4 linked regions of the Astyanax mexicanus genome follow. The protein of the gene in region 2 purifies or fractionates together with the protein of the main gene of each other region. This does not show direct contact. Links are inferred from orthologs where the notes say so. Each region holds a gene or a part of one and is shown on either strand. Other genes may lie near its edges. The genes, in order: pard6a, llgl2, DDB1- and CUL4-associated factor 1 and pard6gb.

Region 1 (8,849 bases), on a different chromosome or scaffold from region 2:
CAACAGCACTTAAGACAAAATGTCTCAATTATTTATTGACTCCAGTTAAATTTCTCTCAATTATTAATTGACTCCAGTTAAATTTCTCTCAATTATTAATTGACTCCAGTTAAATTTCTTATTTTTAATGTCTCTAATTCATTATTATTCACAACATTCTTAAGCTTTAAAATGTATTAATGTTTAAAATTGTCTTACCTAGTGCTGTTATTTGTGAGCATTATTGTGACGTGTTATCAAATTAGTTATTGAGCGGTATAAATCATTTAGGTATTTTTTTTTACTTTTTATTCTCACTTATAATGTTTATTCATGTTTTAGCCATTTTCTCCCAAATAATTTCAGTTCCCAAATATTTGGTGCAACAATAGCAGAGATTTCAAATTTAAATGAGGAGAAAGCTGGTCCATTCAACAATAAAAGCCCCAACTGTGAGACAATACTTGTATTTTTGTGACAGTGTGAGTTTGGCAACTTAACTTTTATAGCAGATATTTCATTCTATTGACGTTTCATATCTATGTTTGAGACATAAATGTTACAAAATATACTGTAGTCAAGAAACTGAATACAGTTCCTGTAGACTTACAGTCCTGAGTCCTGTGTACTACTGCTACAGATTCATTTATGTTCAGTAGAATTAAAGACTGGATTTTGAAGACACTCATTCTTAAATGTATGTTAGTGAACGGCTGCTTCAGTCAGTAGGGTGGAGCGGGAACGGAGTAAAGCATATCTTATCGGCTTTACTGCCAAGCAGACCTCTTTCAAATAGCTCACATTCTTAAGCATCCTTCACCTCTACAGCTGGAAACCAAGACTCTCTCACCGAACTCACACCTAACATGCTCTTCTGTTTGGACGAAACCTTGTATGTGCTCTAAAACTTTAGCAGTGAGGGTAACGGAACAGTGCGTTCAGACAATTACAGGAAACTGTCCTCAAGAGTAAACATTTACAAGAAATAAAAATGATGTAAACAAATCCACGTTCTCAAAAAAGAAAAGAAAAAAAGGGCCTACCTTGAACGAAAATGCCATGAGTCACCAGAGGCTCACAGATGACTGAAGATGAGTACATTCTTCCTTTAATTACTGACCACGCTCTTTAACAGGGTTCACTGAGGAGGATCTGGTTTGACAGGTGAAATTGTTTATACATGAGTGTACTGAGGAGTGAGGTAATTACCCTGCACACATGGCCAGACAACCTTTTCCTGCTGTCTATGATCAGAGAGCGCACATGCTAATGGCTAATCTACAAAGAACTGAAAGATGTAGAGATAAGTCAAACAACAAAGCAACAGGTCATCATACTACTGACATGACCGACAGACACATGACAACAATGACAAGAAGAAAACTCAACAAACCTGTGAGGCAGTCCATGCACCCGTGACCTTCTCCGAAAAGTCCTTATTAATGATAAAGACTTTGTTGATGAGCTGAGAGAGGAAGTGGGTGGGGTGGGACTGGGTGGGAATAAAATGTTTTTGGCCTGTTGCAGGAAATTGAATTGAGAACCAATCCATGTTCTGGTATTTCATTATTTTTAAATTAAGCCCTGACATCACATTTTTAATATTATTATAACTCATATAGCCAATACTGAAAAACATGGTTTTGAGTGGCTGTTGATTTTACCTAAAAAAAAATATTATATTATATTATTAATTATGTTTTGCATCTAAACATGAATGCATTGAGTTTTCTTAACCAAACTACCTTCCTGGTTACTATCTGGTTATATGATTGCGTTGTGCTTTTCTTGTTTTATTGTTGAAGGCTGTAATGAGCAAACTTTGTGCTTTCAGAGAATCAGAGAAATTAGTTCTCTCTGATTCTTTGTTGCCTAAGTGATAAAGAAACCACACATACAATACAGCACTATCCAATCATCATTTGTGAAGTTTATACTGTATAAGTTTAGATGGATGAACAAAAAAAACTATATATATGAATATTAAAGAAAGGGAAATCTATGACATCTATTAAGCAACTACACTTCACAGAGGCTAGTAATGCACAGTCCTGTAAGCAATATGTACTGAAATGAAGGACATCTCCATTAAGTGGTTCAGGTATTTTGGGCTAGTTCTGAGGAATGTGTTCCAGAGCAGGTCCCTCCATGAATGGTCACAAGAGTGTGAATGAGACAGTGTTCTTGTCTCTATGATAAAAAACAACCCAGATAACATGCCCAGGTGGGGCCTGTATGGGTAGCCCGATTGGGAAGCAGAAAGTTTTATCCACAGGTTCCTTGTTGTTCCCACATATGGATGTCAGTGATGGGACCAGGAGCGGTTAAACATCTGCCCTCTTAAGGTGGGATGTGACGATGTGGCTCATTTCTGAAGTACATTTGGGTTCTAATAAAAACATCTCACCCATCTCAAACATCAACACCCACTCAGAGCCATGCCCACCTTGAACCCACCTAGCCCATGTTCCACCCATGTAAACCCCACATGAACATGATGATTGAGAACCCTTTCATAAAGTATTGTATCTTTCTGCTCCATATATTTTATTTTCACATTTTGTCACATTAAATGTTCTTCAGTGTAACTAATTTAAAAGCACTGATGCTCATTGCAATAAACAAAAGGTTTGGCACATTTAAAAGTAGCAGTTGTGCGATTTTAAACTTCACTCTTCTCCCAGCTATAGACACTGTGAGAAACAACTGAGAGAAGGTTTTGAAGTGAGCTGACTTATGTATCACTAAGCTAGGAGATACTTTCATGTCAAATCAGACAGAATTCCTAAGACAAGCTGCTGCGTGACTTTAATTCAGATTTTATTTATTCTTTTTTTATTTGTTACTTGTGGCCTACATTCTTAAAAGAAGACACTGCCAAGATTTCCTTGACTGACTCCACAGAACAAAAGTATTTAATCAATTCTCATTAATGTCCTGTTAAAATAATGTTTTCTAAATCCAAGGTCCAGAACATCATACCATAATGAACCACTTTTCTTTTTTTAGCGCTATACACATGACTTCCTTGTATTTTAAAGATGTCTCATCATTATGTACTCATCACAATACGCCTATCACAATGCAATGTGGACGTGATATTTTGGCAATTTAATTCATTTTAATTTATTTTGCTTTGCAGAGCCACGTGGACAATATTATTTAATATATGTAGTTTTATTGTTTTAGATATTCATTATTTAATGCATTGTTGGTTCGATAATCATGTTTGTATACATGCCCTTCAAACAACTGTTGTTTGATGAAACACATGAACACGGCAATATTTTGCATGATGGCGAACTGATGGAGTTACATTAAGTTCCACCAAATTAAACAAGGGCACTGTACAGTGGCATACTATAGCTAAAATTATTCTAAAAGAGAACCAAACAAATTGTTGATGCTCATCTACTGGCATATTTAGAGGGCTAATGTCAACATCAGTGATATTTCATCCACTAACAAAGCCCACACAAAATTACACAGTTTGATGTCTGTTGTATTTGACCTATGACCAGAGCTCCAAGCAACTGCTTGATTTGCATGAACTTTTTCCTCTGGTAGTGAATGGTGAAAAATGCTTTAACAAAAAACCTAAAACGTTAGCCCATTTAAATGTGTGTAGGGTTGCACGTTGCTTTAAATCTTGCAGAAAGGGCATTCAGATAATTAAGCAAGTGCTATTTTTAGGGTGCTTTCACACCTGCCTCGCTTGGTCCGGACTTTCGTACTTTTTAGTTTGGTCCGAACCAAATTAGCAGGTGTGAAAGGGGCCGCGAACCACCGTCCGACCAGATTTTGGTCCGACCAAGAGAGGTGGTCTCGGTCCGGATCTTTTGAACCATGGTCCAGTTCGCCTGCAGTGTGAAAGCGCTTTTCTGGATGGTTCGAAATTTCGGACCAATTACAGGAAGCTGAGCAGGCGTTCCTCAGCAACGGCAGCAGAAAAGAAAAATAACCAGCTACTACTGACTGCATCCTGCGGGAAGGCGGAGTTGGACGTCCAGCGCGTCTAGTCCCACCCACTTTGTCCACGCCACGCCTTGTCAGTCTCGCAAGGTTGTAATGTATACACAGTATTTAAGCCGTACGACGCGGCACATTATATTTAAAGTCCGCTAACTGCCCTGTACATTGTTTACTTCCGTACAGGGGCGGGACTGGACGGCATGACGCTAACAAAGTGGGCGGGACTAGACGGCATGACGCTTACAAAGTGGGCGGAGCTGGACGCACTGGACGTCTAACTCCGCCTTCCTGCAGGCTGCAGTCAGTACCCTCTCAAAATAACCGGAAAAGCAGGAAAAATGAGCCGTGGATACAGTTGCTTCAGGACAAGCACGTTCGTTTAGCGAATTTGAACTAACCTAGAGTACTGTGCCTGAAGTTGCTGCTGCTGGTATAAAAACCACAATAGCAGCACTACTATGTAGACGAAATTAATCTGTTCATTAATTTCATCCTTATCCTGGAAAGGCTTTCCATCGAATGAACCACCCGCTGAATTATCAATCAATTGTCGTCAGACGCATGTCCTTCCAAAACCAATCAGCGTCAAGTTAAGGAAAACGCATCGATACGTAAGTGATGAAAGGATGTAGGAGTATCACACAAAGGTCTTTGGTGCGCTCCCTAAACTGCAGTGTGAAAACAAAAATAAGCGGACCAAATATATACAATGTAGCAACACATGAACCTTGGTTCGGACCACGGTCCGGACTTTCAGGTGTGAAAGCACCCTTAATCTGATTATGAAACCTCTTTAATATAAGCAAATAAACAAATTTGTTATATAGTAATCAATGCAAAATGTTGGTAAAAAATTAATGCAAAACTGGATTGAAATAAGTCTTGTGACATTGCAGAAGCTTATGGAAACAATATTAGTGTGTGACCTTTTTTTGGTGCTGACTTTTTTTGGCCAGGCAGTGTATTTGTTTGTTTATTTATTTTTCACATTAGTAACAAGTGCTAGTACTAGTTAATTAGTTAATTAATACATTAATTTATTTATGTATTTATTTGTGACTGCAGTTTTTTTATTTGGTTAATATTCTGACCAAGCACACATTCAAACATTTGAAATAGCAATTTATTTGCATTTGTAGTATAGAAATTGTAATAAAAAGGTTTTGATTGGGTGGTTGGATTGAGTTTGATAAACCCTGTCTAACAAGGTAAACCAAAAAAAATCTAAATGTAAAAGAATATCAGAATTTTTTTTTTATATATTATTTATTTATTAAGTGCTGATACTACTACCTGGCCTGCTCCCTGGCGGTGACGTTCCTCGTGCGGGCGTGCCTTTACCGTGGGCGGGACGGCGTGGGTGCTTACGTCATTGTTATTGAAGGGGAACGGGCGCCGCCCACTCCGGGAGCAGCAGCCTCTAACGGTAGAGCTCGCGCTGCCCGCCAGTACTGCGGATCGAACAGAGCTGCGCGCGCCCTCCCGCCCTCCGCTCCCAGACAGACAGACACCCATCCATCCATGCTGCTCTCAACACCGCCGCTACTACTGCTGCTGAGAGCGAGCGCGCGCCCTCCGCGCTGCCTTCTGTAGGGATTTAGAGAGAGAGCGGAACGAGCCGTGACTGGAATACACACAAACACACACACACACACACACTACTAACGATGTCGAGGAACCAGAGGACGCCGCTGAAGAGCACGGACACCGTGGTGGAGGTGAAGAGCAAAGTAAGTGTGTCTCAGTCGTGCGCGCCCGAACCCGTGCGTACAGCTAGGTGTCCGTGCATGTGCGTGTGCGCGTGTGTGTGTGTGTGTGCTAGGTGCAAGACGACAAATGTGTTTGGCTTGAGCCCAAGTTGAGCGGCTCGGGCTCCGGTGTTCTGTCAAGTTTTGCTACCTTATCAGACCGTGCTACCCTAGTATATATTTAACTGTAAAAACATTAAATGAGCACCTTACTACAGCATGTTACCAGTAGGTGTGGGTTAGTAGGGTAGTTTATTTGGATAGCATAAATCACTGTATCATGGTAAAGTCATGACAAAGAGAGGTTATTATAAACAGCTTTTTCTTATTTTTTTTTAAATAATAATAATTGTATTTTTTATTATTATTAGTTTCCATCTACACTTCTGCAATGACAGTGAGTTATATTTTTTATAGATTTTTTTTAATAAACAAAAGAAACACGATAAAGAAATAAAAAGTGTAGATCAGCGCATGCGCAGTGCCTTTAGGAAGCACGTATCGATGGGTAGCACAACTCGACAGAACACCCCCCGGTGGTGGAGCGCAGTGCTGGTGCAGTGTGTGTGTGTGTGTGTGTGTGTGTGTGCGCACGCTCGATGCTATGGACGCTCGTGCGCAGTGAAGCGACCGGGCCCCGGTGATCAATTATGCATGTTGGACACCGTGCAGCGGTGCGGTAAAATATCAACCATCCGTCTGATTCTGCCCACCTGCCATCAAACCACTGCCCGTATACAGCAACGATGAGGGTCAGCACTGCGAGGACATCACACACACACAGAGCATGGACACCGAACTGCCGCCTATAGAAAGCTGTAGCCCCGGGTACACACTCGACTGTGAAATGGTACCCTACGTGTCTTCCACTGTTTGATGTAGTGTCCGAATTTTACACATTTCGCAAGTAAACCGTGGCTGGATGTCAGTGTCTTCGCTATGACACTGATACTCTCGTGTGTAAACAAACCCAGGCTGTTGTTGACTGGTCACATGCTCCCCCCCTACCAGTCTTACCCAGTCTTTACACTGGTGGTGATGGAGAAGCCAAGCTTCTTCACAGCTAAGGGAGCACGGGAGTAGGGCTGAGAGCACGGGCTGGCACAATTCTGATGATACAATTAGACACATATATACAATTATTTATATATATGTATATATATATATATATATATATATATATATATATATATATATATATATATATATACATATATACATATATACATATATACATGCCCTTTTTATTCAATAAGAGCAGTAGGGATCTCAGGCCAGGCTATCTACTAAAACACAGTGCAAAAAACAGTGTCTGACTCCTGGATCACACTGCTTGCCATCAGCAGCCGGTATCCGAAAGAGCACAAATGGTCTTATTCTCTCAGCCGTGAGAAGATGACACTTTCTTGTCACCTGACTCTCACTGTGATGTTTGGTCAGCTGCACAGGTGTCTTTTAGCTTTTATATCAACGCTGGGTAGCTATGCTTTCTTTAAATTGTTTTGGGTGTCTTTTTTATCCAATAAGGACAGTACAGATGGTTTAAACGCAGTGAAAAAACAGTGTCTGACACCAAACTTTACATATCTCAGTGTTTAGTATCGATACAGTATTGCCAAACATAATATTGTGCTACTTTGACATATTGACATAATTTTCTTACACCCATAGGATTCAGTTGAAATAAAGCTGTTTTTTAACTACCTGAAATGACCAATGGACCTTCACACCAATGAGTCTCCTGAGTGTCATATGTAGTGATGACTGATTATGATGATTGTGGCTTCCATAGCAGATTTATCTTTGTGGAGTCTTATGAGTACATAAACACACAGGCAGTGAGGAAGGTATTAGTAACAACAGTAACAGAATGTTTTAAAAGAAAAGGTTGATACGGTCAGAGGTTTATAATGTCAGTATTGATTATTTTTCGATTAATAACCCAACCCTACAGCATATCTGTTAGAAAAGGTTTTAGGGGACTGAATTGCCTGAGAGTGAAATTCTACAATGTAAGTGGATTAAATGGTACATTTAAAGTCACAAATCTAACCTCACAACTGTTGGTAAACAGTGCCTCAGTCATTAATGTATTTATGTGGATTTTAAGAAATTGTTCTTTGATAAGTTTTAACTGATTTAGATCTGGTGAGCTCTCTAAACCAGAGTATTACACACCAAGTCGTGCTGGATGACATTATTTATACAGTAACATGCCACTTTTTTCCAGAATGCCCAAGACTGCCAAATTGTATGTCTGTTCATTGACAGTTCTCCCCAGATATTACTGGCCAAGTTCATTACCACCCTTGGGCTGTCTACTGTGGGTGGTAATGCCTTATTAAGTGTTTATCTACAGAGGTGACATTGTGAATTGTTAAATGCCTGAACAACTTCCAAACTGAATATCCCATCCATCTAGCATCCACTATTACACCCCCTTCAAAATATGGTAATTAATGTCACCTTTCTCATCTGAGCATGCTAGACAGTGTTCAACCTCAAATCAAATTTCTCAGAAAATAACCATTTAATTATGCTGAAGTTTTAAACATCTGTATTGATCAATACAGTGAAAACGTTCATCTGCAATTTACAATGAGGTGAAACTTTCATGATAAACGGATGGAAGAATTGGTCATTTAGTCTTATTGCTGTTTTAGAGCTTTGATTTTTTTTAACCACAAGCTGCTGCTGACCATGGTGTTTTTGCACATGTTGTGTTTGTTGTGTTTACCCCAAGAATTTCAAAAAGGAAAGCAGCAGCCAGGCTCACTGTGGTGTGTCGCTCTCCCTACCGAAGGAATGTCAGACCAGCACACCATGAGAACTGCGTGAAAGCTAAGAATAGGAGAAGCAAAAATTCAGCATTTTTCTCGTTGTTTTCTCGTATCTTATAAAATTAGAGGTCTTGCTGTGGTCGGTGCCACTTCAGACAGACAAGGGCTGGAGTCGGATGTGGGCAGACGGCCGGGTCTGACTTTCGAAATATTGTCTGAAGGCAGTAAATAGTAGAGTGGCAGGGCTCGCTGCTTTTCCTTGGCAGTGAATCTGAAGTGTGTTGACCTTCTCTTCTTGGTCAAAGAAAGACAGTGATACTCTTAATCCTTCTCTCACTTCATTGCTCTTTCGCCCTGCTTTTCCCTCACT
Region 2 (8,424 bases):
TCAGTGTTTTAGGAATGCACAGGTGGTCTGGGACTATGTTTGCTTTAATTTCAGAGAAAGCAACTTTAAGTATTGTGCAAAACTATGGCACTACTTTTGGTTAAATAATCAAGAACCCTTTATGTCCCTGACCATGTGTCAAACCATTTTATCCCAGAACCCAAACCCTACTACATTCTTTTGAACAAACATCTTAAGATATGTAAATACATGTTTCAAGGTTACCATTATATGGCGATATATGTCTACAAGTTCAGCTTCACAGTAAGTGTGGATGTTGTCTGCCCTAGTTTACCAAAACAGAGTCATTTAGTCAAATGTAAACATCTTTAGGTGCAAAGACCAAACAATAAGCGTGTAACTTAGTCCCTAGGGCTGCACTTTCACAGGAAGTATGTATGAAAAGTAAACAGGACATAAAAACACAAATTATGACATCAGACTTGGCCTTAGCTTAGAAGTTTCATATGTAGGTACAGTGGGTTCAACATCATCTACTGACTAATTCTGCATACACTCACTCACAAGGCACTTCATTTAAAACATCTATACTCTTATTGAAGGGATGGTACATCTAGAAATAGGATCTCCTTAAAATCTCCAGAACTGATGACTTGAAGAAAGTCATCAGTTCTGCTGATTAAATCACATTGTTGATGAGAAAGTTCAACTGAGAATGGGTAGGTAGGTTTGAGCTGACAGAAACGCTACAGAAACTCAGGGAACCACTCTGTACAATTGTGGTGAGCAGAAAAGCATCTCAGTGCACAACACACCCAACTTTGAGGCAGATGGGCTACAACGGCAAAAGACCACATCAGGCTTTACTCACAGACAAAAAAAAAAACTGTACACAAAACTGAAGACATAAACATGACCTGGTCTTGATTTTTGCTAAAGCATACAGATGGTGTGATTATTAATGTATATAAACAACTTGTCTTGTGTCAACAGTCCAGGTAAGTGGGTATACACACAGTAGTATACACACACGTGGTGAACATTTTCTGTGCATACTATGAGTCAGTTAATTTCAGTGAATAAGTGCTTCCCTTTGTGGCCAAAATGTATCCCCTTTGTAACTGTTACTTCCACAATGTCAAAAAGCTAAAATCATATCAGACTGGCCTCATGAATGAGCAGCTTTGGGATTCACAGACTTACATGCACCTGTATAATCAGCAAGCGGTGTGTGAACAATGTCAACATGAACCAGAATTTAAAAGGAATGTTTCCAAGACCTCGAGGAATCCATGTTTTGAAGAATTACAGGCCCTACCCTGTTCAAGTTTAAGTAAGTGTACTTACTTACAAGCACTTTCTGAGTGTATATCCAATATTCAACAGGCTGAGTAACAGCATTTTTAATCTCCTGACCAGGCCTACACCCGCATGGGCGATCAGCCTCGGTCGGTTTGCATAACGTATGACACGCATACGGCAACAGAGTAATATGAGCAGCTCTGAGGCGGATGTGATTGTCTTCTTGCTCACTCAGACCTGACAAACCGGTGGAACAGAAACACCTTACCTCATCCACTCCGCCCCCAACCCAGAGCTGAGTGAGTGAGTGGCCAGCAAGGGTGGGCCAGAGAGTGAAAATCCAAACCAGGGTTTTGTTTCACCTGCCTGAGTGGGATTTCTTTAACTGAGCTTTAGCAGTGCAGTCTAGGTTTGTGTAACGATTATTAATTACATTTTCTGACTGTTTTAGACTAAATGAAAAAAGAGAACATTTTATGTGAAAAACTCATTTCATTTTTTATGTAGTGCAGTGTACTATTTTTTTCCAATTTTAGTTTTTCTCTGCCCCTCTATATATATATATGTAGCTATATATAGCTATATATAGCTACCTATATATATATATATATATATATAAATATATATATATATATATTTTTTGCATTTTGTAAATAAATAAATAAATGATAAATGAAATTAATTCAATAAATAAATTGAAAAAGCATAAAAAACATTTCTTCTTCACTATACTGAATGAAAAAAATTTGTTCAAGTAATTTATAAGTATTTTCGAACTTAGCTTGACACGGTCAAAAAATTAAACTGCTAAACGTTACACTAACCCACTCTGGGCAGGTGGAACAAAATCGTGGGATGGAATTATTAGTTATGTACTGGACCTGGATTTGACACTTCTGGTGGCTTGTAGCTACGTTTTAACATAAAAACAGGGAGAGATCTAACTAGCAGCTAGCTAAATAGTTAACTAGGTTACTTTACTACAGACACGCCTCACTAAACCAGTTACCTAGCTAATTAAACTGTTGCTCAACAGATGTGCTAACTAGCTAGTTAGCTAGCATATAATTATATTAGCATATAACTATATTGGTAGTAGGCTAACGTGTCTGTAAGTTAAATCTAATAGCGAGCTAATTAAATGTCTGGATTTGTATAACCTACAAGTTTATACAATCCAAGCAAATAGCCCGTCGTAAACCTGGTAACTATGAAAACAATCTAGTTAAGGTACCTAGGTAACTAACTAGCTAATAATAATAATAATAATAATAATAATAATAATAATAATAATAATAATAATAATAATAATAATACTTTCCTTGAGCTTGGCGTCTGGATGAAGGTTAGAGTTAGCTAGTTTCTGTAGCTACCTGACCGCACGGAAAGCACAATACAATTAAAACTAAAGGTTTAATCACATTAAATCCTAGAGAGTTAAATCAGTTAACTAGCTAAACTCTGATGAGTTAAAAAGGCGACTTCTCAGCAAGCTAAGCTAGTTAGCTTAGCTTAACGATCTAGCCAACTACCAGTCTGAATGGGTAGCTACACACTTCTATCTCTTTAAAAGAAAAGCTCTCCTGCTGCTAAACACAGAACCAAGATAATTAGCAAGCTAGCTAATTAACTAGGTACATGAGCTAGCTAAATCTTAGCCCCAAGCACCTGTAGCTAGATATCCAGCTAACCGAGCTTTAGTTGAGCGGTGAGCGGAACCAGGCGGCACCGCGGCCCGTCAAAAACTCACCTGATCCGGGGCGACGCTGTTGTCCCAGCGGCTCTCCTCACTGTTTACGGATGTTGGGCCACACTCCTAGGACTACTTTTCTTTTCTTTGAGGGGGAAAACCGCCGACTCCGTACGTTTAGGTCAAAGTAACACACATATAAAACCTAAAGTTAACGCAGACACATACAGTTTCTCTCAGCTTCCAGATCCCCACTGCAGCCTCGCCGTTTCCTGCGGCCCCAGGCCCGCTGAGAGTGGAGGACTTTTACCTCCAGCCAGCGCAGCTACGGATCTCTTGACTGCAGCTCAGGCTCCTCCCAGCACTTCAGCACACAGAGCCGGGGAGCGCAGCCCGTCCGGCAGGGGGAGAGAAAGACCAGCGCACAGATAGACACAGAAATACTGGAGCTTTTAATATTTAAAATCATTTATTTATATGAGAAATTTGTTGTAACAAAATATTTATTATAATATTTATTATAATATTTATTATTTTAAGATCAACTTCACAGTATCAAGATAAAAAAATATTTAGAGACATACTGATTTATTAAATTGAATGAAAAAAATATTAAAACAGAATCAACTCTTAAATTAAGGGTGAATGTAAAGTCTCAAAATATTATTTTTCTACCTTTGTACTTTAAGGGCTCCACATGAAGGCGTTTACAGCAATTAAATTAATTTCAGCATGTGGAACCACACAAATAATAATAAAAAACACTATTATGATTACTTATTTACAGTGTTTTGTTTTATTCATCAATCATTTAATACCTTAACAGCCTCTTTCAATTGGTTTTTGTTTTTCATTTTATTTAAGATTTATTTAAAATTTTAATTAAAATTTATTACATAAAAATATTTTAATCACAATCATAGTACAATTCTCAATCCTGTTAAAATTATCTGCAAAAGGGCAAAACATGCATATTAGTCAGAAATTATAAACAACATGCTAAATATAAGAATTCTAAAGTGCTATGAATCATAAAAATTGTATTAGTGTTAAGCTTTTTCATATTTAAATTTCACTACTGACAAAAATTGTAGATGAAAAAAATGTAAATAATTTGCTATGCCTCTCTAGTTTCAAATTAATTTAACAGGAATAACAATTGTAATTCTAGGCTCATTCATTTTTAATATCAAGCACATGACCTCATGGGTGGTAAGAAGACTCTTAGTAAATGATTATAACAGATAATCATTTTGTACTCATATTAGAACATCTGCATTATATTCTGAAAAATATCTTTACATTTTTTTCCTTCATCATTCTGACAGAAAATCAGAAAAGATGAGAAAAGCTATTTTTATCAGTTTGGCACTGATTATGTGCATAAGTAGAAAAAAGAGATGCAGCAGAAATCAGATCCACTGTTCTAAACCACACTGCAGGAACAGTTTTAACTTAAGTGTTAACTCTTCATCCCACTGAGGACCCGAGCTCCTTCTGATGGCGTAGTAATGTAAAAGGTGGGACGTCCGCTGTATTTCTCCTGTGTGTAAAAAAAAAAAAAGTAAGTTAGAAACAAAGGGTAGAATAAAAAAAAGATATAAAAAGCAAACTGCCACGAACCTGTATATGTTTTATGGTCCTCTCAGTGGCATCAGCCTGAAGCAGCGTTACAGTACATCCACCAAACCCTCCACCTGTCATCCGACTTCCAAAGACTCCATCAACCTCCATTGCTGCAGCTACCAGTACATCCAGCTCTGGACAACTGACCTCATAAAGATCTCTGAAAGTAGACAATAATCGAACTATTCAAGTGTATTAAAAATTTAAGGGGAAAAAAATATAAACACACTGTTAAAATTAGATGGTTTGAATTGTAAACTAAAATACAGGCCACTCATTTTCTGTTGCAATTTTTTTTTTTTTTTTGCTGAATAACTGAGAATGTTGGAAACAAAATAACGCATACTATATAAAATGTACCATAACTTTTGTACATGCCCCTTAAATTAAACAAATACAGTAATTGTGTATTCAAATGTGTGCAGAATGTATCATCTGTTTTACAAAAAAAATCACCAAACCTTTACATCCAAATTTAGTCTAACTGAATATTTTTCAGTTTTCTTCCTAACTAAACAGAGTCATAATGAGGCCAGAAATGTAAACATTTAGATGGGATTAATGAGCATAGTTTCTGTAAGATACATTCTTTGGAAAGTATGCTACATAGTACTTAAACTTGATTTTTTTCAGGCTATTCATCAAATGAATAAACCAATTAAACAATCTAATTTTTGTTTGGAGTTGCCATAAATTGTTCCAATTGTTTACCAGTTTGAATCTTCCTGCATATGATGATCCTAATAGAAAGTACTGTGTACCTGAGAGAATTGTGACTTTCCACCATTAGTCTTCCAAACTCTGCATAAGCCCCCCGTTTGAGTGCATCAGCTGCCTGTGCCGTGCGTGCAATCTCTTCAATCACATGATGTGCTCGCTGGTATGTCACACTGTCCATTCGGTCTTTGGCATCTACAAATAGTTGGATTATTTTAATGCATACTCACAGTCCCACAAATAATAGAAAAAAACATTTCTTACAGCTTCTACAATTCTTACCCTCCAGATTTTGCATTGTTGCATCTCGTAGACTGCTCTTGCCCAAAATGGCTGCTGCATTCTCACACTGTTTTCGTCTGCTGGGATACTCACTTCCTGTTAGTGAGTGCCTCACGTTGGAATTGGTGATGAGGATGACCAAAGCTGGATCAGCCAGAGGAACAGGAGTGGCCTCCAGAGACCTTAAACAGACAAACAGTGACATTACTTAACAAACCACTGGCAACTTTTAAGCCTACTACATATATCCAATACAGTCCATTAGTTATTGTCCCAGTGGTGTTCCATCAACTGGTAGACAGAACAGTATTTGAAAGAACTGTACCTGCAGTCAATAAGCAATGCATGACCCTCCTTTCCCAGCACAGAGACAAACTGGTCCATAATACCACAGGGTACTCCAGCATGGGTGTGCTCTGCCTGCTGACAAGCTACTGCCTTTGCCACTTTATCCCCATCATCTGTTCAGAGAATGTAGAGACTGTTGCATTAGCAGGTTGACAAACACTTATGTCAGCTAAATTAAAGTCTGTAGCCGATGACCAAAATTAATATTAATCTTTTTAAAGATAATGTATGCATGCATGATGTCAAACAAGCTCAGAACATCACTAACGTATGACACATGTGTTCCTACCTGGACACAGTTGCTGAAGGAAAGTGTACACTGCCACTTCTAATGACGCTGAGCTGGACAATCCACCCCCTAGTGGAACACTGCTGGCGATCACAGCTTTAAATGCAGGCAAGGGTTGTGCTGTGTACAAACCAAGTCATACATTCAATATGTAAGCTGATATATGGTCTTTATTTCAAAGCAGCTTAAACACAGCCTCTTCTCATTCCCTGTTAAGATAAATCTAAACCTTGTGGCTCATTGTCTAAAAATGAACCATTAACAGTGTCCCAAAGCCTGAGCTGTTGTAGGTGGGCTGCAGTTCTCAGTTGCTAAGTCAAAGAAAGAGTGTTCTAAAGAGAAAGCCATATCATGTTGAGCCAAAATTTGGAGTAATTTAGAATACACAACTGATGTATCCTTTATGGCACTCAATTAGATGAAAACTGCAGAAAACAATGCCTCTGGAGGAGAATTTAGTTCTGTGAAGATATGAAAATCACATGAATATCTGCACCACAATGTTTCATAGGTCTAACTAATAGACTACTGATATTGAGCCGTCATAGAAGAAGCCTACTGAGAACCCGTTCTTTTTTGACAGCAGCCTAGGCTTGGAGATTCATCTATTGTGGTCATAGTTTTTCATAAAATGTTTTAGCCTGTGGGGCTAAAGGTCCATCAGAAGGGGTAGGAGATATTTCAGCTCCACTTTTCAAACGTCATCATGAAAACAATTTTATATACACTTTCTTATTATATTTTCAATCTTACATAACATCTACAAGTTGTCAAAGACAGAGTAAATGTCCTGTAAATGTGCCATGCTGTGCATGCTCATGAATAAAGGCAATCTGTAAAACTCCTCAGGGTACCTCTATAGTGTTGTACCACCCCTTTAACATAGTTGGCCCAGGCTGGCCTCCCTCTGGTCAGGGGTGAACTCTCGGTCGGCAGATCGAAGTCCACTCTCCTCGGCTCATCTGCGGAGTCAGTAATGGTTTCAACTGAGCAGCTTTGGCCAGAGGTGCTGCTGCCCACTATAACTGTAACCAATGGCAAAGCCTGTGATCAATCAGAAACACAGCAAAATAACTGTAATGCAAATATTATAAAATATCACAAAAAAGTACAAAAAAGATCAATTGTATAAACAAACAGTTAAAACCCACAGCATGTAACTTAACTAATTAATTAATTTTTGAGTTTTGTGTTAAATGTTGTCAAATTTGCCTTTTTATTTCTGTTTTTTTTGTGATGTTCCAATACACAAAATAAATAAAATAAACCTGTGTATAACGAAACATGTAATTGAAATCATTTTTTGGGAGAAATACATTTTCTGGAACAATTTCAGGGTTGCCAACACTTTTGTCCATGACTGTATGAAGTGTTGTATTGTCAGATAATGGATAAATAAACATGACTAGAATTTTAGAAAGTTGACAAAAGTTAATCAATCTCATAAATAAAAGGGTATGCTATGGTATGACCTAATGACATGGTAGTGAACATGCTGTTTTTCATATATAAACAGTACAACCTTTGGAAAACATTGTAGCAACGTTGTCAGAAAGTTGTGACTATGTGTGCTGGCTGGTTGGTCTACAGTCTAAACTCTAGAGTGCAAAATATTACCAAATATCATCTAATGAATTTCTGTTTAGAACTAAATGTGCATTAAATCCTGAACTATTTAATAGTGAATGCTCTTCTGCTTTACCATTGGCAGAACCAGTCCCTGGTTGTAGTCAGTGTGCTCTCCTATCAGGTTCACCCGCCCTGGAGCACACACAGCCACCTGCGCTTCTCCCCCATAACTCCGCTCATAAACACGGAGAGCAGCGGCGAGCAGAGCCCCCACACCAGCCGCAGACCCCTCTCCATCCATCCGCACACAGCGATATTAACACTGATCACTACTATACGCACACGAGCTGATCAGTGAAAGAGAAAACTTCCTGTATCTCAGTGACTCTGATTGGTTTAAAATGGTCATATGATGCAGTACAGCGTGACTGCGGTCAGATCCTGTTTCAGTGAGCAGCTGTGAACTACATAGAGCACACTACCTTTTTTAATACTAGCTGTTGTAAAGTTTGGCCCAATCCCATTTTTTCTTTTATACCCCAACCCCTTGTTTTGGAGTAAAATCCTCCACATAGCGCACTAAAGGTTGACTACCTAGCTACCTACCTAATTAACTTTAGAGCATTGCAAGTCTTAAGTA
Region 3 (7,768 bases), on a different chromosome or scaffold from region 2:
GTTATTTCTATAGGGTAAAAGTATTAAGGCCAACTAGCTAGCTTAAATCAGAGTTAACCAGCTAACCGACCAGCTACACTCACACCCACAGCTGAACTGACTGAGTTAGCGAGCTAACTAGCAGTTAACTGTCTAACTAACATAACTGGCTCACTATCAGCCACCTCAAGCTAGCTAGCTAGCTAATCTAGCTAGGATCGCTAACCTGGCGTTAACTCCCTTAACCACAGTGCTAACGCTTCACATTTTAGCAGGTTAAACCTAAGCTAGTTAACCCAGCTTCTTAACATCTGGACTCGTTTATATAAGACTTATTCATAGAGTCCGACGGTCACTTCATCCACCTGGCTGGCTATATTCCAGTTAGCTTGGTTAGCTAGCTAACGCTAACAACACCAACCAGCTCTGTGATAGCTGTCATTGCAGAAGCCTAGCCACATGCTAACTGAGCTAACCACTTAGCTTAGCGTGCTGCCTGTACGTTAGCCAGCGGGGCTCACCTCAGTCCTGCCCCAGTCCCGCGCCCGGCTCCCTTCACTCCCGCTGTACCCGGGCGGCTGCAGTCAGGCGGGCTGAGCGCTGCGGCGCCGCGGCTCCGCTCTGGCTCTCTCTCGGGCTCTGAGCGCGGCTTTGTCAGACCGTTTACCTCCACACAGCCGCGAGCATGAAGCTGATCATGGCGACCACGTTCCCGGCGTCACGGTACGGGCGACCGCTGTCGGCCTTTAATGATGCAGGCGTTGTTTTCGTTTGCGCGGTGAACACAGGCCGCGGATTGGTCGGCTCTCGCGACGCCTTAAAAAACAGCGATGTTTGAGCAGAGACGGTGTTCTGTCGAGTTGTGCTACCCTGTCAAACCGTGCTACCCTAGTGTGTGTTTTACTGTAATAATACAACCTATTAGAACATGCTGCATGCAGTAGAAGTGTCGGTATGATATTAAGCATAGCCTAAATCGCTGCATCAGGATAAATGAAAGGCAATATAGGGTGATTAAAATGTATGTATATGTATTTTTTAATCATATTTTAATTACTTTTTTACACGGTTGTAACACTCAAGTAAACGATGACTGTGAGGCAGATTGTACAATGCACCCGATAAAAAATATATCATGAAAAAATACTACACAAAACAGTGAAAATTAGAGTTTCAGAGCCACTAAGTAGCACATGTCGATGGGTAGCACAACTCGACAGAACACCAGTTAATGCAGAACCTGTCTCCTCTCCCTGTTATATCAGAAAAGATGTCAACCGCAAGAGGTAGCCCGCGAGAGAGACCAGAATAAATTGGGGTGAATGGAGCTAAATGGCTAAAAGCATAAGTAAATAAAAACTACTTGTTCAGGTTTTTCCTTGAATTTTATAAAGCAAAGGAAAAAGCAGAAAATTATTACTTATACGTTTTTATTTTTCTACCCTAAACGGAGTTTAGGCAGTAAAGCCGGTAGCGTTTTTGCTACTACTGTGCGCTGATTGGTTTGTGTGCTGATGCGGGACTTGGGTTCAAAATTTCTAACCATAACTGGAGTTAAAAAATTATATATGCAACACTGAAACAAAATTGTTCAGTGATGAGAAAATAAAGGCATATTTCAATATATAAATAATTAAACATCTTTAAACTAAAATTTGCTAAGCTTTGCTCTAGTTTTTTGAATATGTAGTTTGTAATAAAGATGTAAAAGTCTCAAATATCCCAGATAAACACTTAAAATTACATAATTAAATATAATATAATTAAAATAATATGTATTTGTGGCACAGTTTATGCACAAATGATGAACTAAAGACTGCCACTGCCATCACATTAGTTGCATTAGACTGTCTCCAGGTGCTTATATATATATACAACTTGAATTCGACAAATTATTATTTTTTTGCAATTACTCTATTAACAGTTCAAATCAATTCTATATAGTATATTTTTTCATATTATATCTAGTTTTAGTCATTAAAATTATTTTATGTCTGTCCCCATGTTCTTGTCAACTTTAATGATGTCAATTTTAGTGGAAAGTGACTTATGTCAAATTTCTATCTTCATTATGTTTTATAAAATAAAATATTGTGAAATTAAAAGAGCCCCTTTGGTAACACCATGTCAAAAAAATAAATAATAATGTGTGGTCACGACTTATGAAAACCTGGGAACATGATAATTACATTTTGCGGATGACTTAATAAGGGTTGGGAATGAGATAATTCGTGGGGAAAGTCATGGGGAAAATGTATATGGCCAGGACTTAAGTATCTCGTTTCTACAGCTTAATAAAACGTTTCCACAACTTTTGAAAAAAAAAAAAAACATTCTTTCTTTATTTGTGGCTACATACCGTTGTATTGTGATATCTATATATTTTACACATGTACAATGTCAATTAAAAGTTCTTTAACTACTGGCTATATTAAAATATATGTTGCAATATTTGCATGCTAAAGCTGTAATTTAATAACAAATAAAAAAGTACACATAATAAAGTACACTACATATTTACCCTACAGAGGACGCAGAGTCATTTTGAATACAGCCTGTATACTGAACCGATTCTTTGTCATATTGAATCAACTGATTCAAAGACTCGTTGGTTGACGTGTCGTGTGAATGCGCATGTTCTTAGTTTCCAGTGAGGTTAGGAAAGAAATACATTACATTTATTTACAAAACATCATTGATAAAATTAATAAAGCATAGATAAGACAGCGGATAAAAAGTATGGGTCAATTTATTTCTGATTAATTCATTTATTATTGTTACGTATACCTATTTTATTAATTTAACTGTTTCAAGCTCAAAATAAATCTATAAAAGCTACTATTTTATTTTCATCCTTGGGTGCAAAATGTTTTGAACCATCCCTGTAATAAATAACATTTTTTAATGTGGATCTGGAGTCTGTGTGAATCGGTTCGCCTGTTTAAATGAACAGAACCGGATCAGCAGAACCGCCCGAAGATATCAGTGCATGGAACATTTGATAGATTGTTTAAGATTTTAAGGTAAAGTTAAATGAATGATAATATGTTTAATATACAGTAATATTATACAATATAAATATTTTCTATATTAATTTAAGGAGCAATTCATACTAACAGATTAAAATAAAAATTCCTAGTAAAAAAAAGGTTTGTAGAGCTTTCTGTATATTTTGTCTCAAAATGTTTATATTTTTATAGAAATGTATATATCAATTTATAAAATCTAAAAGAGAATGTTAAAATGTTAAACATTTATTTAGTTTATAAATATCAAATCAAATTTATAATTATATATTTATATTTTTACTTTACAGGATTTTTTTGCTGCGGTGGGCATCCCTTATTTTCATTTCTGAATGGTGCCAACCCTAGGTGTCGGTTCGGCTGTTAGAATAAAACTGAATAAACAGTATAAGACAGACAGACAGACAGACTGAGCTCACCTGGTCTTCTGGGAGGCCGGAATCGTATCCGTAATATCATTTTCTAAGGTTTGCTGTAATTGTAGTGAGAGCTGGAGTCCCATAGAGTCCCGCAGAGTAAAGCTCAACATTGTTGACTAGTGAGAGCTGGAGTTCAGAGATAATCTTAATCACTCAGCTGAAGCTGCTGTGGGAGAGGGTGTGGAGATACAGGAGCTACAGTAGGTCTGAGATGGTTCACCTCACACATTACTTGACTTACTTACTCTCTCTTAATAAAGAACACTCGCTACTTACTACTAGCTCTTGGCTATAGGTATGGGTTCATTTTTCTAATATGGACGTATGATAAATGATTACGTATTTCCATTATTATTGTGATAATGTGATAAAAAAGCTGCTATAACACCTTGAATAACAGCAAACATAAGCTACGTTACCCATATGCAGCAACAGAGGGAACTAGCGCTTTACATTTGCAGCCTGTGGTGACAAAACTGGGCTAAAGGTAGAGTGAGGTAGAGCTCCACAGTGAATGCACACATGAAACTAATTACACTTAGGGCGTTTTCACACCAGCACTATTTGGTCCGGTTAAAACGAACTCTGGTCCGTTTGTAACTTTAGTGCGGTTCGATTGAGCCGGTGTGAAAACAGTAATCGCACTCGGGTGCGGATCAAAAGAACCGGACCGAGACCAGCTAGAGGAGGTGGTCTCGGTCCGGTAACAAACGAACTCTGGAGCGGTTCGCTTGTGGTGAGAACGTGATCCGGTCTCGATCGGATCCAGCTATTAAATATAAGCCATTTATTTGAGCTAAACTGCTGATAAAGCAAGCACAGTTTAAACTGATATATTAGCCAGATAACACTAATTACCACAGCTGTGAACAAACACTGTGTCCATGCACGCGCTGCATTCACTGCTCTGTTTATTATGTATAAATCTGCGCTGCATTCACTGCTCACAGTCGCGTGACTCTGTTTATTATGTATAAATCTGTGCTGCACGTAGAAACACTGTGTTTGAAAGTGCAGCGTTTCAGCGTTCAGTGTTAAAGCACAGATTTTGTGCTGGAACACAAGATCTTCTCGCTGTATTTACTTTTTCGTATATTTATATTTAACGTACTCCCGTGTCAGACAGTTCTGACCAATCAGAGGACACAGGCTGCTCGCGTGGTTTATTGATGCGCATTTTGGTGCGTTTACATTTATGCCTGTGTGAAACCAGACTGAACAGAGCAAGAAAACGCTCCAAGTAAACAAACTCATTAACTGATTCGGACCAGAGAAACCAACTACAGGTGTGAAAACGCCCTTAGACTTAGAATGGGTACAATTAGTACAGCCAAGTCAAGTGTACGTTAACAACCTTTAATGATTTTAAACTAATTTTTAGTGTCTTAATTAGTTAATGTTAATAATGTTCTACATCGATCTTAGCACATTCAGCAGTGCTAACAGTGCAACATTCTATTTTTAAGAAAATAGAATATAATTTTTTTTAGTTATTTAACTTTTTTGTTAAATAAAAAAGTTAAATGTGTTTATTCATAGTTTTGATGCCTTCAGTGAGAATCTACAATGTAAATAGTCTTGAAAATAAAGAAAACACATTGAAAAAGATAAGGTGTTCCCAAACCTTCTGGCCTGTACTGTACATCATCCATTTCTGCACTTTAGGCCTTCAGGAACACATTCCAAGTTAGAACTTTGGGTACCACTTTAAAATAAGACTACCTTCATAAAGGGTTTATAAATGTTTACAATTAGTTTATTAATAGTTACTAATTAGGTTGTAAATGCCTTAAAAATCATTAATAATCAGTTATAACACATACGTAGAAAGGGCAACAATATAGATGGCTGTGAGTTCACTATTGGACAAAAAACAGGTCATTGTTGTCCTTTTACGTATGTGTTGTAACAGATTATTAATGACTTTTAAGGCATGTACAACTTAATTATTAACCATTAATAAACTAATTGTAAAACATTTATAAACCCTTTATAAAGGTAGTCTTATTTTAAAGTGGTACCGGACTATAATGTAGCAATGAATTGTTTCAGGTGTTCATTTATCAACGTATTTTAACCTCTTCTTTCACATACATACATTTTTCATTTGTTTGGCTTGTGGTTTTGCATTGTCTTGTTGAAATATGCCTGGCCTTCAGGTGGGTGTCTACCAGACACTGATTTGGATAAGTAAACAAACATACAAACAACAAACAAAATATGTATTTACCATGATTCAGTTTTATTTACAAACTTAAAAAAAAAAAAGTTCAAAAAAAGAAAAATCAGAGAAAAATCAGGTCAGTTTGATTTGAGTGCTTTCAGATTGATCTGTACATCTGACCATTTCACCTTAATGAACAGAACACAGATCTGCTCCTCACACCCAGCCTTTTCTCGAACAACATCAATAAATACCTCGATTCAAGTAAAGAGTAGTAAGCAAAGGACATGGAACGCTGGGGCATCGTTCACATCTCAGCCGTGACGCTCTGGGAACATGGTAGAGCTGTCGGCCTAGGTCACTGCTTTACTCTGGAAATACAAGTAACCGCACTGACCACAACTGACCCTTGTTCATTGGTCCATAAGCTTTCACATGCTTTAGCCAGGTGGCAGTCATACACACACACATACACGCACACACGCACACCCACACAAACACACACACACACACACACACACACACACACACACACACACACGCACACACACACACACACACACACATCCCTTCAATCGTTTACAGCTGAGGCATCTTTCTGCGAGAACGTGAGCCCCTCATAAAAACAAAAATGTACAAAAATAAAAAATACAAACAAATAAATACACATTGTTATAAATAAATTAATTTGGTAAACTGACAAATGGCAAAGAAAAAGAATAAAAACAGGTACGTTTATTCCGTACGCAAAGAATGATTACATATTGGAAAAAAAGAGAGATAAGAGAGACGCGATAATGTACGATTCAGATGTTTCTGGAACAGTTGTCCAATCTGCTTCGAGCGCAGGGGACGTCAGCGTTTCGCCCCGCTAAAAAAGAAAAGCAGGGAGAGTAGCAGAGCAGTGTGGGGTACGGGTGGGCCTGAGCGGTACATTGTCTGTAAATAAAGCAGATCAATGCCACGTATGGATACAGAAATGAGGCGAGATGGTGTCAGCAGTATACAGTTTACTGTATAGTACCGTTTGTGCACAAGCAGTGCTCATATTTGGTGTCAAAAATCAGATGACTTGTGGAATTCTCCCAAATTTACAACCAGACAAGAAGCGAGTTGTCTGATTATATCCTTGGTTGCTGGATACTGGAATGAAATTTGGTGGATTTGGTTTAATGGAAATTATACACTCTTAAAGATAAATGTGTTTAAATGGTTATTTTCTTGTGATTTCAGTTTTTGCAATTGTGAAGTAGCATTTTTGAGGGTACTTAGGTATTTAGCCCCTAAAATACACATAAATTAAGAGGGTAAAAGCTAGATTGCTACCTCAGGGTCATGCCAAGCCAGTTACGCATATGCTTAAAGAACTGGACAGCTCAACACACTTGGAGGAGAACACTAATGGCCTATTCTGTTACGTCAAGGCCACTTATGCTTTTGAACATAGCACTTAGACTGTTGCTCCACCTGGAAGTGCTTGGAAGTCCATTCCAATTATAGTGTTCATCTTTAAGAGCATACTCTATTTGGGAAACTTGATTGTTTTGGCACACATTTGACGTCATTTTATCATTTGATTTTGGTTTGACTCAATTCATTTTCATACATTATGGAAGAAGCGTTGTGACGTTTCAGCCACTGAAGTGTCAGAAGCGGGAAAGGTTGGGGTGAAAAATTACAGGAGTATTACAGGAGACAGTGACCCACATAAAGAGACTAGGCAAAGTCTGCACATCTTAGCTCAGCTTGAGTAAGACTTGGAGTGAGATGTAGGCATTAGGAGCAGTGCTCCTGAACCCTGCAACCCTCACCAATACATTCAGTGAGACAGCAGCACAAGGCATCAGTGTTTAGTGTACGTTCTTTGTATCAGTCGCCACTCTATTCCCAAGTAATTTAAAAAAAAGAAAAAAAACTTTCACACATTTCACACATTTCTTTGATCGGGACTAGTTCCCTTTATCCTGTATCGTAGTAGGCTGTAAGAGGGTTCACCTGCATGTGACCAGTGTTCACAGAAGAAACAGTTAAAACACCATTCAACATTACAGAGATTCAAAAAGGAGTGGCAAGCGTATTCACACACGTAAATGAATAAAGTCTTCAGTCTAATGTCTGTGTCTAAGGCCTGTGCTTGCAACACTGTGGTAAAGGCGGGAAGTAAAGATACATTCTTATGT
Region 4 (8,294 bases), on a different chromosome or scaffold from region 2:
GCCACATCAATAACATACAATCAGTGACAGTTACCACAGACAATCTTTAAAAAAAAGAAGAGAAACTCCACTGCAATAATACACACATTTAAAATAAAAACCAATGGCCAAACATTGAGTGCGTGACAATCAACTATACGCTACAGATGCAGCAGACAGACAGAGATCAGATCACGCAGGTCAACATACAGACAGTGGGCTGGATCTGGTCCGATCAAGGTTCTAATCTGCATGAACACACAGACAGCCATTTAGCTAGATGTGGGAAAACACAGTCAAACCTAACAGCAGAACCAATTTAAAACCTGCGAGACTTCTGAATTAGTAAGAACACTGCCTCAGTCCACTTAACGTTTAAAAGCTTTCACTGTGTTTTAATGCACAACATAATTTTTACACATTTGGTGTGTCACACCATGTGGGAATTCATTTAAAAAATACTAATTACAGTATTTCTGACTGTTGCCTCACTAACGTAGGGCTTAATGATCTACAGAAATGATATCTAGCACAATGCACACCTGCAGAGTCAAAACAAACTCTGAAACTGGTCTAGATAAAGTTAATTTGCATTGTTTTACACTATATGGACAACAGTATTACAACACTTGCTCATTTACTGTTATTTCTGAAATCAAGGGTATTAAAAATTATTATTTAATTAAAAATTAAAAATCCTGCTTTTTTGGGGAAGAGAAACTGTATCTGCTTCCCAGGGAATACAACCCCACTGCACCATAACTAAATGCTGAGAGGATTTAAACTCCTCTAGTCCATGTCTAGTATTAGGCACAGTGTCAAAAGGTTCATTTTTATCTGCTCCAGAGTGTCTGACTCTACTGCCAATTCTTTTCTACAGGGACTAGACAAGCAGCGTGTGCATTTGCACATTTTTATCGGCAATGAGAGTAATTTAAAGTAGCTGAGTGCATAGAAGGGGTGTTCACAAACATTTGGATATAGGATGTAGTGTATTATAGCTTTGACAGAGGCTGTAATTATTGTAGTTAGTCAGTCAGTGATACAGTTATGTTCTTTTTTTTTTCATTTGTCTGCTGTGTATATAGTGTAAGAATGATATTAGAGATGCACCAATGTCAATGCCGATTTTCAATATTACACATGTATTTATCTGCCAATTCCGATATATATACTTATAACTTACAGAGAGAATGGACACCCTGGTATAACTTTAAAGCTAATAAAAATAAATAAAAATGAGCTTAAAATCAATGGTAGTAGTGCAGTCAATGTAGAGAGAAAGTATCGGTTTTAAAAAAGCAATTATCGACAGATAGTGATATAATTCTGATATCATCATGCATCTCTAGATGTTATGCTTTTTTTTATTTTTAAAAAATGGAAAGATTTGGATGTGGCCCAATATCTCAAAAGACCTTGCCACTCCTGAACTAGATAGACAAACACTAAAGGATGACCAGTGATTGTAAACCTGCCCTTGAAAAGGGTTCAGTAAACAATCAGATGAGTTTAAAAGATACACACTGCAAGCAAAATATAGAAGAAATCTACATGACATCTGGACAGTGGGCCCTTTACTCCAGGGGATTCTTGGACAGGCTCAAGTCCATTTTGGAGATATTCCTGCTCATGCACCTGATTCAAATCAACCGTTCAATAAGTGTGTGTGTTCCTAGTCTAGGAAATCCCCAAACTGCACAGTTAAAGCAAGTTTACAGTTAAAGAGAGAGATGTTGTCAGAAGAGCTGTTTTAGACTACTGTATTATACTGACTATAATAAGGCACACCATCAATGAAAGTCTATTTTCTGGTCTCTTTCCATACATAAGGCACATTTTAGGTGACAATAGTAAGGAACAAGGGTGTTGCCATATAAGCAAAACATTTACTTTTAAAGTAAAATGAGCAATGGGTGTTAAACTACACAGATTTCTCTCCTGAAAACTGTTAATTTGTGTAAGTAAAGCGCTTTCATTTACTTACAGTAAGCTTAGATTTTCAGTAGTAGATTGCCAGATGACATGGCTCTCCATCACTGATTGTAGAGACTTCACACTAGACCTCAAGCAGCTTGAACTGTGTTTCTCCACTCTATTCTGGTCCCTTGATTTCCAAACGAAATGCAAAATTTACTGATGATTAGTGATGGTTTGGAGAGACATGTCATCTGCTGGTGTTGATCCACTGTGTTATATAAAGTCAGAAGTCAGTGCAGTTTTGTTTTCCAGATAAATCTTACAGCACTTCATGCTTCTCTCTGGTGTCAACTTTTATGGAGATTGCTGATTTCATTTTCCAGCAGGACTTGACACACTGCCCACACTGCCAAAAGTACCAATAGGTCTTATATAATATTCTAATTTCCTGAGAAAATGATTTTTGGGTTTTCATTGGCTGTAAGCCATAATTATCAACAATAAAAAAAAACTCTTAAAATAGGTCACTTTGTGTTCAATACATCTATATAGCATATGCGTTTCATATTTTTAACTGAATTAGTGAAATAAAGTAACTTTTTAATGATAATCAATTTACTTTATTTATTTAGATGCACTAGTTGCTACTCTGCTAGCAGTCTGGCTGCTTGTAGATGCAGCATAAACAACTCAAACACCCCAAATATTAACTCAGAAACAGCAGGTATGTGATGAAAAGTAGTTATCACTAATACTGAGTGTCAGAAGACACACAGTGGAGGACAGCTCAGAGCAGAGAGCTAATATTAGTTAGGTTAGTGAGTTGACATGGGGGCTAGCTACATTAGCCCACCTTTACCTACTTAAAAAAACACTATTTCACCAGTGTTTTAAGAAGAGTAAACACAGTACTTTTAAACCCAAAGCCCTCCAGACCTACCTTACTCTTCACCTCCACCGCGTCCAGCTCCAGCGGCCGTAAAGGCTGCGATTTATTAAAGCTGCGGTTCATTTTGATCTGAAGCTCCAAAGTTCCCAGACTGAGCCCGACCCTCGGCTCGGGGGCTCGAGGGAGAGAAGACGAGCGCCTATATCCCACAAACTCCCACTAGTTCTCGGTGTGCAGGAGCATGAAGTCCTCGGGGAGTCCGCTACACCGCAGCTCGCAAACTTTCACAGAAAAATAAAAGCGTTACAGAGCCCAAAAGCAGCGTCTCAGTCAGGGACACTCACTTTAACTTTACTGAATGACATCACCACCGTGTCTCTCCATGAACTCAGCCACAGCTCCTCCAACTGGCTTCACACCCGTACTCCGTACCCGTACTCAGAAAACGCTCCCTTTAACGTGATTGGCTATTTTCGTGGAAATATCCCGCCTTCGGCATTGTGATTGGTCCTTTGGTTCGATGGAGGCGGGGTTTTGTCTATCCATTGACGCCGCTTTAGTATTTTAGCTAAGTTTGTTTTATTTATGCATTTTTTTGCAGTAACATTATGCATACAGTTATCTATATATAAATGGTATATAAATATAAATGTGATCTCGTATGAATTATAAATAATTTATTATGACAACAAATAAATAGGTATCCAAAATTAAGAAGCAATGAAAAAAAAATAAAATAAAATAAAAACAAAAAAACAAGAAGAAACTTGATATAAAGTTAGTAAAGTTGTACTGCAAATTTGAGCAATAATACAAAAAAAATATATTAAATGTAATTGTTAATGACTAAAGTGAGACTAATATAAAAGCTACGCTTTTTGAAACTTATTTTGTTTTCGGAATATATTATTTATTTATTATTGTTTGCTCGCCTCTCCCATTGGTCGGGCGGATTGAGTTTGAACCAAGTAGCCAATGAGAGCACGGGGGGCGTGGTGTGTCCGAAAAACGGGTGGTTAAAAAAACAAAAACGTTCAATCGCAGCCGCACATACCAACAGTAGCGCCACCTGCTGACGGTAATTAAAAAATTCGGTTCTTTAAAAAAAAGAATACAAGTTTATTTTAAAGTTCATAACTGCCAAACTGGAATATACGGCGTTACTTTTTCTTAGACACATTTGTACAAAATTTGTGCTATTTTTGCGTTTAACAATAAACTACTGCAAATGTGAGAAAGTATTTATTTTTATTGAAGTAAAGGATTTTTGTGGATTAAAAGCTGTTAAATACTTTTATTAGTAGGTTAATTTCGAATTATAATAATTTAGTTTTTAAATATTGATATTGAGTGTTCACTGGAAATTAAGTATTTGTTTGTTTGTTTTTTAACTGTTTTCAAGCTCTTTTATTATATATTTCTCTTTTTCTAGTTGAGTCATGATTTTACATTTTCTTGGCTCTGATTTAAGGCTCCTCTTTCCTACCTTTGGGCTCAAACCAGACACTACCAGACACTGCTGAGCATGATCCCATTGGTCTGAGTGAAACCACCCACCACCCAGTGTGCTGTGATGTTTACACATCAGCTGTTGGATTTTACTGTGTTGGTGCGGCCAGAAGGCGCCAGCTTAACCTCCCTAACACCGTCCTCTCAGCGCCTCCAACTGTTCTACCGGTTAAACCACGGAAAATCACCAGCATCAGAATAGAGCAAAGTTCTAACAGCCGACGTTTTATGCGTTAGTTTAAGATACTTTTAATCTGAATTAATTGCTAGAAATTTAGTACACTAATGTTCCTGCTTAAATAAGAAGCAAAAGTTTGAATAAACTTGCCAAACTAAGCTCATTAGGAAATAAATCACAGTGGTGGTGTGAATAGCATGCAATGCTCTTCTGTCCCCTAGAGGGGGCTAATATTTCTCCAGATTTTACTGTTACCGACCTTCTATTTTCAATAGAAATAAACGTATTTAATATAACAGTAAGTGTAAATAAGTCAACAAACAAATATAATGGATGTTTTCATCACATTTTTTCCTATTAAGGAAGTTTTGTATATATATACATATATATGTATATATATACAGTGACGTTAAAAATTATTTGCCCCCTGCAGACTTTTTTTGTTTTTGCTTTTTTGTCATCCTGATATTTTTTTAGATTATCAAACAAACGTTAATATTAGAGAAAGATTAAAGGAAAAAAAATATCCAAATCATCTTTGGTGGCAACAACTGCAATCAAGCTTAGCCCGTAACTGACAATGAGTCTTTCACATCTCTGTGGAGGAATAGTGGCCTACTCTTCTTTACAGAATTGTTTTAATTCAGACACATTGGATGGTTTTCCAGCATGAACCACCTGTTTAAGATCATTCCACAGAATTTGACTAGGCCACTCGAAAACCTTCATTTTTTTTTTTAAAGCCATTCAGAGGTGGACTTGTTTGTGTGCTTTGGGTCATTGTCCTGCTGCAGAAGCCAAGTACGCCTAAGCTTGAGATCATGAACAGATGGCAGGACATTCTCCTTTAAGGATTAAAAAATTCAAAGAGATTTTATTGTCATTCGCATCACATGTGGTACATGAGGTGTAACGAAATTGTGATCTCAAGTTTACAACCAAGAGCTGTTGTTAAAATAGATATATAGATAAAATAAGATAACAAAATAAAAGAATACAATAAAAATAGAATAGAACATAATAGATAAATATAAATACACAAAAAAATAAAATATAGGCAGAGTAGACAGGTAGCAGCAACATGAAGTCCAGAGTGCAAGTTTTGCTATAGCAGCATGATAATGGAATTAGAGCAGTACAGGACAAAGTGTCTCAGTGCGGTTTAAAGTGACAGTGTTTGTAAACAGTATTTGTTCTTGTAAAGTGTCAGTGCAGTGTGTTTAGGATTGTCTGGTAAAACAGCAAAATTCCCCAAATTCCTGGGGATTATCAAGATTTTTTACAAATTTGAAATGGACTGTTGTTTTTTTTTTTTTTTTTTTTTTTTGCCTTGGATCTCTCCCATGGATACTATTTTCGACCAGTCTCTTTCTTATTATTGAATCATTAACACTGACCTTAACTGAGGCAAGTGAGACCCGCAGTTCTGTTTTTTTTGTGACCTCCTGGATGAGTTGTCCATGCTCTTTTGGAATAATTTCAGTCAGCCTTATAGACCAAAAAATATATGATAATTGATGACATTCTATTAAAAGATTTGTGAAATAAGACAGAGACTATGTTTACTTATATTTAAATACATTTGAAGGCAAATCTAGTCTTTGTACTTTTACTCAAGTGGAGGTCTTAAAAGAGGATATTTACTGGAGTGATATGTTTATGCACTTTTATGCACAATTGCACAATATATCAAACACAGTGATTATGTGAATATGTAAGAAAAAAACTGTGCAGTGAAAGTACAAAAAATGTGGGCCAATTTAACTATACAAGACAATTGTCACGCTGCTGGAAGATGGACAAGGACAGTGGACGGGAAAGCTATAAATGAAGACGACAGAAAAAAAGGAGTGTCATGAATTAACCAATTAAGTAATTATATAGAGAAAAATGCAATAAACTATAAACCAAAAAACAGTCTGAACTCAAATAAATATGTTCTATTTTTACATATAATTATATTTCCAAACATTAGATATGGAAAGTTCTGTTTTACTACCTGACAATAACATTTAAAGTAGGATTATTGTACAAAGCAATTGCTTTAACAAAAACTTACAATTTAGGGATAGTACCTAAACATTTTAAGTCTAATTAACTCAAGTTTTCAACAAATTATCTTTTTTTTTTAAATATGAAATTTCTAAATTATTTTTTTTTTTTCAGTCTTAGAGTGTACTTGACAATTAGTGGTATTTTAAATGAAACTCTCTTGCAGCTATTTTTTACAATTATTTTACATATAGACTCTACAAAATTGACAAGCTTATTTAAAAAAATTGAACTATTGTTTAGCAATTTTGTTTGCGGTTGTTTCCTTAAAGGACGATACTAAGTGCAACTAAAGAAAATATCTAGTATCTGTCATTATGTTTATTTCTTAAAATTAATCAAGTAGGTGTTGACTACCAGGTGAGCTACCTAATGGTCTAGTAATGAATTAAAGCATTACTGCATCAATTAACTATGTTTAATGAGATATAAAATAATGTAGTGCATCACATGTTATGCATGTAACTTGTTGCCTTGTTAGTTAACCTGTTACTGACTCTATAACAGCATACAGCAAGTTCAATACTCAAACTAATAACATAACTATTACTGTAAACTAAAACATTAAATATTATACACTACAGTATACTGTGCATTACACTACACTTGTAACTGCCCTATAACCTGCAACTGACTGCCTAATTCTCCTTTTCGATCATTAAATCTGTCTGTCTGTCTGTTTCTCTGTCTAGTGGCAGATGAGTAGTTGTACATATAGCCCCGCCCCCTACTTGCTCAGCTTCTGTAAAGAGCACTAGATGTCAGTGTTACTCCACTGAAAACAGTTATATAGTTCTTCATGCAGCTCATCTGAAGGATAGGAGCTGAAAAAACACAATAAATGCTCTGAAGTACTGTCCAGTTTAGGGTCTGACCATGACAGAAGGGATTGTCACAATATTTGTTCATGCATTTGATAATGTTTTTAATTGTCCAAAAAAATATATCTTTAATGTGGTAACTTTACATGACAAAATAAAACACTCAACTTTTAACACAAGTTAATGTATTCCAAAGATATTAAGTCTAAGCTGATTTGGAACAGTTTATTCTTTGGAAAAATAAAACTTATTTTTTTTAACTGGTCAATATAAATATAACATTCCTTTTGCGTGCTCAGCATAGTTGTTAACATTACACACTGTGTTACAATGCATTTTAAGGTTTACTCTGAATTAACACAATATTACAAATACAGTATTTAGAAGAAATGGTTAAGTAGCAACATTTTTTAAAAAAAATAAATATATTAGTTTTTATAATTTAGGCATTTCAATTGTGAATTTTATTTTCACAAAAATATCTAGCTATTTAAACATCCAAATTTTTTTTCCTGCCCACTCTGTCCATCCTGGGATAATTAGCCCTTTAGGAAAGTAACATTTGATGTTAGTGAGATCACAACCTTCATGCTGTTTTTTTTTTCAAGGGAATGAAGAAACGTACTGCATGCTCAGCAAATAATAATCATAATATTTTTATTTAATATATATATAAAGGGCTATTTTACTGAATGCATGCAATTTCTGTCCCCAGTGTACACATTTAAATTTTAAATGTGCACACAAAATAACTTAAAAATATATTTTATTAATAAGCATAGTATCTTGTACGTTGGACCTAATTGCAAAAGTAAAATATGTAATTAAAAACATTAATAAAAAACACTTAGAACACTAAGAAATAGCATTTGTTATCTGTCCCCACTTTAACTATAAACTTTACCGTGAAATATATTTATTAAAATCCTTCAGAGATGTAAACTCC

What was found.
Region 1: the proteins of llgl2 (region 2) and pard6a purify together in Homo sapiens (affinity purification with mass spectrometry; 5 studies listed by BioGRID and IntAct, with this or other methods). This does not show direct contact. The link is inferred for Astyanax mexicanus from reciprocal best matches to the Homo sapiens genes LLGL2 and PARD6A.
Region 3: the proteins of llgl2 (region 2) and DDB1- and CUL4-associated factor 1 purify together in Homo sapiens (co-immunoprecipitation; 3 studies listed by BioGRID and IntAct, counting the BioPlex papers as one, with this or other methods). This does not show direct contact. The link is inferred for Astyanax mexicanus from reciprocal best matches to the Homo sapiens genes LLGL2 and DCAF1.
Region 4: the proteins of llgl2 (region 2) and pard6gb purify together in Homo sapiens (affinity purification with mass spectrometry; 4 studies listed by BioGRID and IntAct, counting the BioPlex papers as one, with this or other methods). This does not show direct contact. The link is inferred for Astyanax mexicanus from reciprocal best matches to the Homo sapiens genes LLGL2 and PARD6G.

The regions. Positions count from the first base shown.
Region 1 is NC_064416.1:25,813,352-25,822,200, reverse strand, and holds the start of pard6a (partitioning defective 6 homolog alpha), read left to right. Parts: upstream 1-5,350; 5' UTR 5,351-5,618; coding exon 5,619-5,681; intron 5,682-8,849. UniProt on the Homo sapiens protein: Adapter protein involved in asymmetrical cell division and cell polarization processes. Probably involved in the formation of epithelial tight junctions.
Region 2 is NC_064422.1:31,516,951-31,525,374, reverse strand, and holds the start of llgl2 (LLGL scribble cell polarity complex component 2), read right to left. Parts: upstream 3,304-8,424; 5' UTR 3,014-3,303; intron 1-3,013. Other genes in the region: galk1 (galactokinase), read right to left, coding at 4,416-4,496, 4,577-4,739, 5,341-5,491, 5,579-5,760, 5,904-6,039, 6,216-6,335, 7,070-7,259, 7,918-8,085. UniProt on the Homo sapiens protein: Part of a complex with GPSM2/LGN, PRKCI/aPKC and PARD6B/Par-6, which may ensure the correct organization and orientation of bipolar spindles for normal cell division.
Region 3 is NC_064419.1:10,125,220-10,132,987, forward strand, and holds the start of DDB1- and CUL4-associated factor 1, read right to left. Parts: upstream 3,522-7,768; 5' UTR 3,465-3,521; coding exon 3,425-3,464; intron 729-3,424; exon of another isoform or gene 501-728; intron 1-500. UniProt on the Homo sapiens protein: Acts both as a substrate recognition component of E3 ubiquitin-protein ligase complexes and as an atypical serine/threonine-protein kinase, playing key roles in various processes such as cell cycle, telomerase regulation and histone modification.
Region 4 is NC_064410.1:36,208,274-36,216,567, forward strand, and holds the start of pard6gb (par-6 family cell polarity regulator gamma b), read right to left. Parts: upstream 3,195-8,294; 5' UTR 2,912-3,194; coding exon 2,840-2,911; intron 1-2,839. UniProt on the Homo sapiens protein: Adapter protein involved in asymmetrical cell division and cell polarization processes. May play a role in the formation of epithelial tight junctions. The PARD6-PARD3 complex links GTP-bound Rho small GTPases to atypical protein kinase C proteins.